Rattus norvegicus: one gene and its partner. The protein of the gene in region 2 purifies or fractionates together with the protein of the main gene of each other region. This does not show direct contact. Links are inferred from orthologs where the notes say so. Each region holds a gene or a part of one and is shown on either strand. Other genes may lie near its edges.

Region 1 (5,789 bases), on a different chromosome or scaffold from region 2:
AAGTCAGTTTCAGCCCTCTCCAGACTCAGAACAAGGCCAAGGGCTATAAGTATTTCTTGCCACTATGGGTCCCTGGTGTTAGATTGAGAATGGAAGAAGTCCAGGAAACCCAGTCAGAGGACTCACTAGTGCTTTCTAAAACCTGAAAGGGGCTGACACACAGGCTTGGAGGAGGAGGAAGCTTTGGCCTGTCTCAGAATGGGCCACCTTGCACATTCAGGACACAGGGTTCTTCAGGCCTTCCCTGGTGTTCTGGAAGGCATCTCGGGTACCATGATGCATACATTCAACAAAGGGCCTCCGTATATATGGCTGCTAACCAGAAGAGAAGGAAAAACTGAAGCATGCATTTCCCTCTAGACCCTGTAATCTCAGTCTCAGACTGGGACCAGTTTTAAAAAGTGGACCATCATACACAGACAAAGGTTACTACGGGCTTATGAGATAAATCCACCCCACAACAACTGACTTCTTCACCATTGTGACTAAGCAGAGAACATGACTTTCCTTGAACCTGAAAATGGATCTTAAATTTGTTTGAATTAAGAAACACCTACGGCATTGATAAGGCACACTGCTGGATGCCTATGAGAGCTTTCCATAGAGAATTAAATGAGGGGAAGAAAACCAAGCCTGAATGTTGTAGCCCCATCCCAAGGGCTGGAGTTCCAGAGGAGTCGGCCAACCAAGCGCCAGCACTGCCCTTTCTGCTTCCTGATCCAAAGACGTGAGCAAGCGGCCTCAGACTCCCAACGACACAGCCGCCTGCCACTACACCCCACGGCCCACTACCACATAAAGAACCATATTCAAACCATGAGCCAAAATAAACACCCCTAAACAGTGGAACACCCATTCTGCTTCCAAAAATATTAAGTGGGATGCTTTGAAATTCTAAAATCCCTGGCTAATCCTAGCATATTTGTCAAGTTCAGAATACAGTCTGAAATGCAATTAAAAAATAGTATCTGTACTCTGAGGCATGCCAGCAGCACATGAGGAACAAGACATGTCATAGGTTGTCACACCACACACCACCACAACCCTATGCTTGCACGCACATATCCTGTAGGTGACTGTCGTTAGCTTCTGCTCATATCTGCTAGTGTATAGCATGGAAAGACGACAGGGCATGAATCTCCACAGGACCTGGGACAGTTCAGGCTTTGGAAGAGAAGTCCTGTGCTTCCTCCAGATGCTTGATACCACAGAAAAGTTCCTCCACACTGCAGCTCCATCATACCATCCCACTACTAACCCTCGTCAGAAAGGAGGGCTTACTGTGCCCCCTTCCCAGACATAGGCAGTGGAAGCTGGGGAATATCACTGTGAAGTCACTTTGGATAAAACAAAAAAAAGGGAAGGCAAAAACAAGTCTATTTCCTTAAGAATTTTAATAACAAGCTGTACTGTATCAAGGAGTCCTGTGGGAGAAAAATTTTAAAAAACTCTATCAAACCCCTCAGGAAGAGAGGAAAGAAAGAAGGAAAAAATAATAGTAATAACAACCCCAGTAACCTGTGTGCACAGGAGAATAAAGAGAAAGGAAGTCAAGTCAAGACAGCAACATCTTATGCAGGACAGGTTTCCAGGTACACAGTCAGGTACAACAAGAAAGTCCTCTTTTCTAATAAATGCATTGTAACTCCTAGAGCTGCTGGGACCTGGAGGTGGGTCAATTCTGATGCCTCTGCTCTCTAGTCCTGTAATTTTACAACAGCTCATGTGCTGTGAAATTCTCCTGCTGCTTCAGCCCTCATACCTGGAGAATGTGGAGTAGAATAAAGTCTCAATTTAAACAATAATGACAAAAATGGTCAAAATGATACAACTCCACATGTCAACTAGAATATTAAGTATCACAAATTAGCATCATATCAAAACCTTCTGCCTAACCCCATTGCTCCTAAAATCTATTAATAAGCATCTATGAATCGAATCGTCTCCTCACTCCCTTCATAAAATAGTGTCATGCTGATTATGTAAGTCTACACCATGAGTGAGTTAGACAAGACACCACAGCAGTGAAGGTGACATCCCATGCTGACGTGGTTTGAGGCTAACAACACATTTCATTCCCTCAATCCGTACACGGGCTTCAAGGTATTCCAAGCTCAGCCCTGAGGAACTAGACCTAGGGGATGACACAGCATAGTACTAGACCAGCGAGGATGCTAGGAACAGTCTGGATGCCCAAGGAGTCCCCAACCTTTAAGCTTGTGCTGAGCCTCTGGGCACAAGCTTAAAGGTTGAGGACTCCTTGGGCAATCTAAATACATTTGTTCACCCTAGGGCCTCACTGAGGTGAACCACAGACACCAAGACCCATGGTTACTCAACATCTAATGCACTGTAGATCTCTTGGAGCCTACCTGACATCATTACACACTGACTACAGGAAGGAGGCACACGGATGTTAAACTAGCCTTTGCAAGCAGCTGCTACAGTAACTCAAAGATCATCTTTAGAGGGAAACACAATGCTGAACTTTAATGCGACCTACCACTGTAGAGTTCTAACTTTCCCAAGAGTCCCCTTTAAAAAGCAGGGGACTTTCAACATAAATTCTGGCACTAATCATGTCTGGTATAATGCTTCCTAGACCACCAGTGTTTAACAGGTATCTGTCTCACCTTTAACTGAGAGCAGTTAGAGCCAGGAAGGCTTCAAGAACTAATCCCAAGACTTTACTATCTAAAACTAAAAGGCTAACTATAGTACAAAGCTCACTGAATGTAAGTAAACTTAAATGCCACTTGCTGGCAAGGAGACGGTTGTCCTGGACCTTCCCACTCAATCAACTGTTGCCCTAGCAGAAGGTAGAAGCCTAGGGACTTGTCCCACAGTGGCACTATTTTAAGTGACTACAGCTAAGTGCCAAATCCAGGCTCCTAGCAGCTGGCTCTTCAGGCAAGAAGCTGTCCCTCTTATAATGGGATCTAGTTACTTCCAGCTTCTGGAGAAAACTAAAACCTTATCCCAACAGCGGGCAAGCCCAAGACAAGAAAACCATAAGCCCTTGCTTTTGCCTCTCCCGGTCTCCGTTCAACTCTCGCCTTCACCTCCGTAGCACGTTGCAGAAATTAAATAAAGCTAGCCCAACAGTTGGGTCAGATGCTCTTCTCTGAGCCGCTAGGTTTGTGATTCGAGGTGTTAGAGAAAAGGAGCGGGAGGCGCTGCCCCTGCCCAGAGAAGCGAAGGCTGGGAACAGCAGGCTGCATCCTCTAGGTAGAGAGAGGAGTGTCCGGGCAGATGGGAGTCTGGGGGGCTGGGGCGGAGTCTGGGACAGAAGTCTACGTTTCTGGTTTCCAGAACAGAGGCAGAGGTGGAACTGGGTCGTAAGGAGCTCGGCCTTACATGTTTGAGGCAACTCTCCTTGAGCTTCTCCACCGATGTGTCCTCGGTCGCCTCCTCCAGCCACTCGGAGCCGTCGGCTGCGCAGATGTGCAGCCGAAGCACCTTGCCCGCAAAGATCTTCTCCTCCTGCACGAACATCGCGCCGCCGCCCGGGCCTGCACCCGCCGCCCGAACCCGTGAAGGTCACTGGGGCTGGCGGGAGGACCAGGGGCGGGGCCGGGCCGCCGCGCGCTCCTTCGCTGGCCGCCGCCGCCCCGCCCCGGCTCCTGTCAGCTTGGCCGCCCGTCACTGAAGGGGCAGGAGCTGTACCCTCGCTGCCACTGCCCGCGTCGCCGTAGCTGCCGGGAGCGCGCTGTCGCAGCCGCGCCGGAAATGCGTAATGAGCGCCCGTGGGTATGCCGGGAAATGTGGTTTCTTTGGTAGGTGTTCCGCTGTTGCCCCCACTGCGCCGGAAATAGGTGAAGTATACCGATGCACGCCGGGAGTTGTGGTTCACAGGCAGACTCACCGCCCGCTTACCTAAACTAATGTGTGAGGCGGGTCAGATGTCTACCGGGAGTTGTAGTTCCTCGTTCCTTCAGCACTGCCCAGCCTTATTACCTGATTTGCTGGTCTGTTCGAATAGATCTCAGAGTTGTCAGGGAAAAGTATAAAACATCTGGGTCGGGGTTAGGGATTTTGCTCAGTGGTAGAGCGCTAGGCCCTGGGTTCGGTCCTCAGCTCCGAAAAAAAAAAAAAGATATGACTTCTAATGCATATGTCCAGTCTATATGAGATGTAACAAAATCAGCAGAACCTGAGTATCAGCGAAGGCAAAACCATGAATTTAGGTAACTCTGAAGTGAGTAGGCTTGATTGGCCTGCGGCATTCTAGAGACATCTGACTTAAAATACAATAATTGGAAGATCCGGAAGAAAAATAAAGTAATAACCCTGTGTACCAGAAGACGGAATTCATACCAAATTGCTGAGGAGTATTTTGAGATAGATGTCAGCTCCATTCCAAGGATATTGTTTAGGGGATGGGGATTTAGCTCAGTGGTAGAGCGCTTGCCTAGCAAGCGGAAGGCCCTGGGTTCAGTCCCTAGCTCCGAAAAAAAGAAAAAAAAAAAAAAAACCATCTGGGTCAGGGCACTAGAAATTTGTCACAGTTGTGCTTGTCTATCATGCACATAGCCCTGGGTTTGATCTCAGTGCAGCATAAAGCTGGCACAGGTTTATAATCCTACACCTAGACACAACCAGAGAATCAGGCAGGTCATCCTTAACTACATAATGAGTTCAGGACCACCCTGGAATACAAGCCTGCATAAAACTCACACAAAGTTCGAATCCTGGTTTGGTTCTCAGACCTCACATGGTGGCTCAGAACCAGGCACTCTGGTAATGTTAACACATATATGTAAGCAAAATACTCACCGAATAAATGTTTTTTAATTTAAAAAAAAAAAGCAATTATCAGTGATCCAGGAATGGTGTTGTGGAAGTAGGAGGAACAGGAGGCCAAGTTCATAGTTATTTTTGACAAGTTCTAGGAGATCTTGCCACAGATCTGAGTCTTGGCAGATGGTATAGAACTAAGCCATAAAGGTTTTGAGGACTGTCTTCAAGTCCCCCAGGCCTCTCCCCAACAAACCCCTTGCTCTTTGTCCAAATCCTAGGTAACTCAGCCCATTCTTCAACGGTCTTATGTTCTCTTTCTCCTGGCCGCCAGTCATGGCCGCTGCCCCAGGCCTACTGGTTTGCATAGTAAGAATGTTTGCAAAGTATTTCCCCATAGCCCAAATTCAGCACCTTACCACTGGATATGCCAAAAGAAATGCCCAAAGGAACATGGGACAAGTCTCTTCCATGTGCTAGATCTGGCTCTTCAGGATCCCCAGGACTGGGGAAGTGAGCAGAAGGAATTGTTGAGATAGTGATCTTCACAATGTATTATGTATTCCCTTCCCAGCTGGAGACAACAGGTCCCCTCCTCCAAAAACTACAGGCTCCTATGTGGACACAGAGATACCACACAGAGCACTCTGATGAAAGATGGGCTGCCCAGTCTCCCAGATCAGCCTTCCTACAGAAGCCCAGCAGCAGTCGTGGCGCTCGTGTATTATTCAAGGGAGAACTCATCCATTCTCCCTCTACTCACCGGCTTGGCTAAGGCACGGAGACTCAGCTTCTGCCCATCTGGTACCATTCTTTACCTTGTCCAGTCTCAGTCTCTGTTTCACAGAACGTGCTGTCCCCTCCCTGCCTGCCCATAGAAAGGTGCGTGTTTACACAGTGCCTGCTATTTATGTTGGGGGTGCAACAGGTGAGGCTCCTTGGCTGGCAGATCCTGTGTTCCTATGATGGGCCAGATGAGACTCTGAAGACTCTTAATTAAAACAACTTAGCTGCTACTAACTTCTTCTTCTTCTTCCTCTTCTCCTTCTCCT
Region 2 (5,921 bases):
GGCCTTCCAAGGAGAGCGCAAGGGGAACCTTGGGGATGGACCCAATCACTGTACATTGTATTCCCGCACACCTTCAGTCCCAGCACTAGGGAAGCAGGCAGATGTTTGAGTCCAGCCTGGTCTATAGAGCTAGTTCAGCCAAGGCCACACAAAGAAACCTTGTCTTGAAACACCCCCCCCCCCAAATTATATGTATATATAAAATTGTCAAAGACTAAATAAAAGACTTAAAACTACTGGCGGTGGAAGTAATAAGATGGCTCAGTGGGCAAAGGCACCAGTCATGCAAGTTTCATGACCTGAGTTCAGTTCCTACAACTTGTCCTTTGACTTCCAAAAGTGAGCTGTGTGGTGAGCACAGATCTCAAACACAGCAGGAAACAAAGAAACAAAGGAAGGAAGGAAGGAAGGAAGGAAGGAAGGAAGGAAGGAAGGAAGGAAGGAAGGAAGGAAGGAAGGAAGGGAGGAAGGAAGGAAGGGAGGGAGGGAATGGGAAGGGAAAGGAAAGGAAAGGAAAAAAGGAAGGAAAGAAGGAAGGAGAGAGAAAGAGAAAGAGAAAGGAAAGAAAGTGCTAGACCTGGTGGCACTACAATCTGAATATTTCAGTGCCAGAGGCAGGTGACTCTCACACCACCTCCAAGCTCCAGGGTTCCTTGGTCTAAATTGAAGAGTTCCAGGCCAACCTGATTTACACAGTCTCAAAAGCAACTTTGAACATTTAAAAGAGTGTGTAGTTTACTTTGTTTCAATTATTATACAATAGTAAGAAAGTTTTTTTTTCCTTTCTTGTTGAGGCAGTGTCTTCTCTCCCAGTTTAGATCAGTACTGAACTTCAGTCCTCTCGCTTTTTCCAGCCCCAAGTGTTGGGGTTCCAGTTATGAGCCACCGCCCTTCAGGTCTTTTTTTTTCCCCAAAAAGTGTTCTGAGGTCTTTTTTCTTAAAGTCTGAATTAGATACTATAGAATCTAAATTATGTACATTGTGAGACAAAGAAACCAGAAAGAAATCACAGTAGGCTAAGTCACATTTAACTAACAACAGAAGAGGAAGTTTGCTTTGCTTTGTTTGCAAGTTTCTGTTACTTGTTGTAACTTCTTTGCAGGTTAAACATGTATTCAACTGAGGTTTCTATGACGTAAGGTCAGGCAGACCATCGAGATACAAGAGGCCAGGGCAGAGTAGAGGTACAGAAAAGTGCTGGTAAGGGCGGATACTGACAGGGACCAGGGGCACATAGATCCCTCTCTGGATCCCTGGAAAGGAGCTACTGCTGTCTGGAGAGAAAAACAAGAGTCCAGAGGGCGGCTGCAGGCACAGATCTCACAGCTGGGAGCACAGTGAGAAGAGAGCACCATGCCCTTCTCCATAACTGCAGTTCCCAGCATCTGGTCAGGCCCAACAGAGAGGAATGGAGCCACACACCCAACTAACTATACCTGCTGGTGGCTGCAGGGGTCCCATGGTCAGGAGAGGAAAAGATCCGGTACAGGTAGTCGCTCAGTAGCTTCTCTTGCACAATGCCTGGGTCACCAATCAGAAGAGAGGAAAGAGGCAAGTGGTCAGAATAGCTCTTGGTCCCTACTGATCCCACAGACAGCTTGTCTTTGGCCAGCCACAAGGGTCTGAAGAGCAACCATTCCAAGTGCACTTTTCTATGGGTGTCGGCAAAGAAATGGTCACAGGAACAAGGGGCATGGAAAGTCCCAGGTTTCACTGAACCGGGCCCTTGCTGCATCTGTCCCTTCCTTCTCCCAACACAAAGCATTCTCTCTGCCACGCCAGCCCTTACCTGTGACCCTGGACTTCTCAGCATCTGAGGTCAACCTATAGCTCTTTCGGGAGAAAGACATGGCAGCCCCCTTGGACGTCATCTTTCACCGCTCATCGGCAGTCACTGGTCCTGGAGGCTGAGCCAGATGCAGAGTGTCTACTCCAGGCTAGTCAAAGGCCCACACAGACCTCAGTCCTGCAAATGGTAGGAAGGCTTGGGAGCAGGTGAGACTGAGCCATGCACATTCACACAATACTGGCCTAGGGCAGGGGTAAGCAAGGGCTCCCAGCTTTCCACACGGGGATGTTGGATGGGATCTAGGCTGCTGTCAGGGACACTATGTTGCACACTGTCTCAGTGCCCCATACAGGACCTAGCAGAGACCCAGTGCAAAGTGTTTTTGCTGAACCATAAAGGCCTTGGCTCTGGGGAAATCAGATTAACATATTCAAAGTGAGGTGGCCTTGAGTAAAAACTCCTATATTTACACCTTAGTCATGGAGTCCAGGTCATAGTCAAAAGGCAAGACCTTATACCACATTCCCTGTAGCCTCAAATCCCTCTTATTCCCCGAAAGTAAGAGATGTCACACTAAGCCCAAGCTTCCTCCCTTTTATTTTCAGTCTCATTAGCTTTCTTGTACACACACACACACACACACACACACACACACACACACACACCCCACATATCCTTCTATGCTATGCAATCACTGTCCTAGCCAAGATCACTCTATAGGTATTCATACTGCTGTCTATCCCTTAGGTAGCATGCTATTGCTGCAGATGCTACAGAAACTGCACTAAGTCCCTGATGTCTGTCTCACTCTAGAGGTGTGCTGCACAACACCATAGTCAGGAGCCAAGAGTGGTTAACTTTACAAAGTTAAAAACTAAACTTTCAGCTTCGGGAATTCAGAGCTCACACAGGACGGCACTGAACTGCAAGGCAAGGTGTGCCATCACCGCCACCGCCACAGAAAGTTCTATTAGCGCCTGTCCAGAGCTTGGCCTTTATTCACTGCCTGAGCAAGCACTTCTTTTTCTGCAGCCTACTCTTATCACACCCCAAACGGGCCCTCAGCTCCCGCCACAAACCCTTGCCTGCCTGCATCATACCAGGCTCGCTCGGGAAGGTGATTCTGCCGCTGTGCCGCCCTCCGGGGGCCCTCGATGGACATCCACAACCAGTCCCTCTTATATTGCAACAATTGCTGGACTTATTGGACGCAGTTAGTAAGAACTGGAAGTCAACCTTCCAGACACACACTCTGGGTGTCAAGTGTAGAGGATTTAGAGGCGGAACCTGCGTCTGCCCCAGGGCTCCCAGCCACGCCATTACTGCCCAGCCCTTCTAAGAGATCCAGGCTCGAAACCGAACCGACTAAGTCTGGGTGGCCAAGGATGTCAAGGGCAGCGCATGCTCCCCCAGGTCGCCCCTACTTGGCCCCAAGCTCCATAGGACCTGTCAGGCCAGCTCCCGCTGGGAGCCCTATACCGCAGGCCGCGGCACTGTCGCACTGGATCGGCCAGGGGCCTCGAAGGGAGTCACCGGACCCGCCCGGCTCGTAGCCAGGCCGCCTCTCACTCACCCCCGGCCTCAGCCTCCGCGACCGGCTCACAACATCCGCCCAGCTTTTCAGCTACGGCACCCGTCCAGGGCCAAACCGCGTGCCCGCTCGCGCGCCGCTCCAGCCGCGCACGCGCATATGCACAGACCGCAACAGGCCCTTGCTGGCAAAAAACCCTCCCCCGACTCCTACCCAGGTGTTTACCTGTTTTACCTGATGGTCCAACGGCCTTTCCTAGCCCAACGGTAACAGGAGACTATGTTCTAATCGGTCCCTCGGTCCACCTGTCTCAACTCCTACCTTGCTTGGAGGCCTGACCCACATGCAACCTGAAAGGCCACTTCTGTCAGCAAATCACCAACAGTAATTACATCCCTCAGCTTACCTGGGATGACACTTCTGAGAGGAGATGAATGTTCCTAGGATGTGCTGCTAGGGGTGTGGGCTGACTGGCCTACAGCCGGGACTCAACTGATAAGGCAGTCTGAACAGGGAGAGGCAGCATTCGGGCTGGGGAAATTATGTTCCTCAGTTCACAGGAAGAAACTGAGGCCCAGAAAAGTATAATCCGGGGGCTGGAAAATCTTGGCAACTCCTACTAGCAGAATCCTTTGGCATAGAAGTGTCAGTAGTGATGGCAGCCACTGTGGTCACTAAACTCTTGAAATGTACCAGCATAACTGAAAATTTCAGTTTTTAACTTTGTAAACTTGAAACTGAAAATTTCAGTTTTTAACTTGGTGAACTTAATTACATTGAGTCTGACTACTATGATGTGCACCACACCTCTTCAGTAAAGCAGGCACCAGGGACTTCATGCAATTTTTGGAGCACATGTAGCAACAACATGCTACCTAAGGGATAGACGGTGGTAGGAAGGCCAATATAGTGATCTCAGCCAGACTTGTGATTGTATAGAATAGGCGGGCTCTGCCTCAGGGATGCTTAATGTTTCCACAGAACCCTCCTAAGTCCTGCCTACTACACAGAGAGGCCTCTCAGGGATCTAGCTGCAGTGAGAAGGACCAGGCACTTGACTCAAAGGCCTCAGGCCTAGGCTCCATCTAGCAATTGTCACCAGGCCAGGTTCAGAGAGGGGGTGTGGAGCCAGAGTCACCCAATCCTGAAGGGACAGATTTCACAATTTCCGGGATGGGGCTGTGGTGGGTCACAGTGCAGCGTCCAGCTTAGGAGAATGGGGTGGCTCCCACTACTGCTGCTTCTGGCACAGTGTTCAAGGGCTCTTGGTGAGTGTCACCCACCCTGATCCTAATTTGCCTTCAGGAGGGAGTTCGCCCCGGGCCCAGACAACTCTTCTCAGAGAGTTTACTTTTCTTTTGGGCAGGGATCAGTGACCTTGGCCTGTTGGCAGCTTGGGAATTCAAATATACACTGTCTGATCAGGACTACAGTAGAACATTCTGTAGCACAGAGGTAGTCTTCCAACCAGAGAAACTGTCAAACCCAGAAGGCATGGCTCCTAACCCTAATGGGTCACTGTAACGTATGTCTTTATTCCAGTACGAGGCCAGACTGGGAGTCAGAAGGCTGAAGCTTGGGACCTTTCCTGGAAAAGCATTTTAGCTCAAAGTCCAAGTATTCTCATCCGAGGGGTGAGAAGGGGGAAGTGTCATAGGGCCAACACCACCACCCAGTTCTCATGGAGTGGACGTATTAGACCAAAGCCCAGTGCCAGGCCTACTAGCAGACTAGTAATAATCTCCCTACTGGGTATGGAGGAATCAGCTGGCCCTTGAAAATACACACAGGGCCCACCCCAAGGATTTTGTATTGGATTCCCTAAATGAACAAAAGATAGGGTGTGTTAAAATACATTACTAATGCGCACAGTCATTTTCCATGCCCATCTCACAGGGCAGCGCTCACCGCTGAATGACTTCCAGCTGCTTCGGGGCACAGAGTTAAGGAACCTGCTACATCCAGTGGTGCCAGGGCCATGGCAGGAGGATGTGGCAGATGCCGAGGAGTGTGCTAGACGCTGTGGGCCCCTTCTGGACTGCCGGTGAGTGGCTAAGTAGCCCAGACATGGCTGAGGGTTTGAGAATCTGCGTTGCCAGTTAACCTCGCGTCTGCCCCCCAGAGCCTTCCACTACAATATGAGCAGCCATGGTTGCCAGCTACTACCGTGGACTCAGCACTCTCTGCGTGCACAGCTACACCATTCTAGCCTGTGCGATCTCTTCCAGAAGAAAGGCAAGTGAAGAGAAATGGGGTGAGCAACAGAGGCCACAGAGCCTCAGTCCCCGTTGACCTTCTTCCATTGCCCCCCAGACTATGTACGGACCTGCATTATGGACAATGGGGCCAGCTACCGGGGCACTGTGGCCAGGACAGCTGATGGCTTGCCCTGCCAAGCCTGGAGCCGCAGGTTCCCCAATGACCACAAGTGAGCCAGCCGATTAGGTTTAGACCTATAGATGCGGAATCCCCCACCAGCATGCACTGCAGTAAGGCTCTGTCTACAGGTACACGCCCACACCGAAGAATGGCCTGGAAGAGAACTTCTGTCGGAACCCTGATGGGGACCCCAGAGGTCCCTGGTGCTACACGACAAACCGC

The links. Proteins that work in one complex are often made in the same cells at the same time.
Region 1: the proteins of Rnf123 (region 2) and Ubac1 purify together in Homo sapiens (affinity purification with mass spectrometry; 7 studies listed by BioGRID and IntAct, counting the BioPlex papers as one, with this or other methods). This does not show direct contact. The link is inferred for Rattus norvegicus from reciprocal best matches to the Homo sapiens genes RNF123 and UBAC1.

What each region holds. Positions count from the first base shown.
Region 1 is NC_086021.1:29,242,499-29,248,287, forward strand, and holds the start of Ubac1 (ubiquitin-associated domain-containing protein 1), read right to left. Parts: upstream 3,664-5,789; 5' UTR 3,496-3,663; coding exon 3,358-3,495; intron 1-3,357.
Region 2 is NC_086026.1:117,642,918-117,648,838, forward strand, and holds the start of Rnf123 (E3 ubiquitin-protein ligase RNF123), read right to left. Parts: upstream 3,358-5,921; 5' UTR 2,890-3,357; exon of another isoform or gene 1,908-2,889; 5' UTR 1,872-1,907; coding exon 1,790-1,871; intron 1,522-1,789; coding exon 1,437-1,521; intron 1-1,436. Other genes in the region: Mst1 (hepatocyte growth factor-like protein), read left to right, coding at 4,537-4,588, 5,193-5,364, 5,443-5,555, 5,634-5,748, 5,828-5,921. UniProt on the Homo sapiens protein: Catalytic subunit of the KPC complex that acts as E3 ubiquitin-protein ligase. Promotes the ubiquitination and proteasome-mediated degradation of CDKN1B which is the cyclin-dependent kinase inhibitor at the G0-G1 transition of the cell cycle.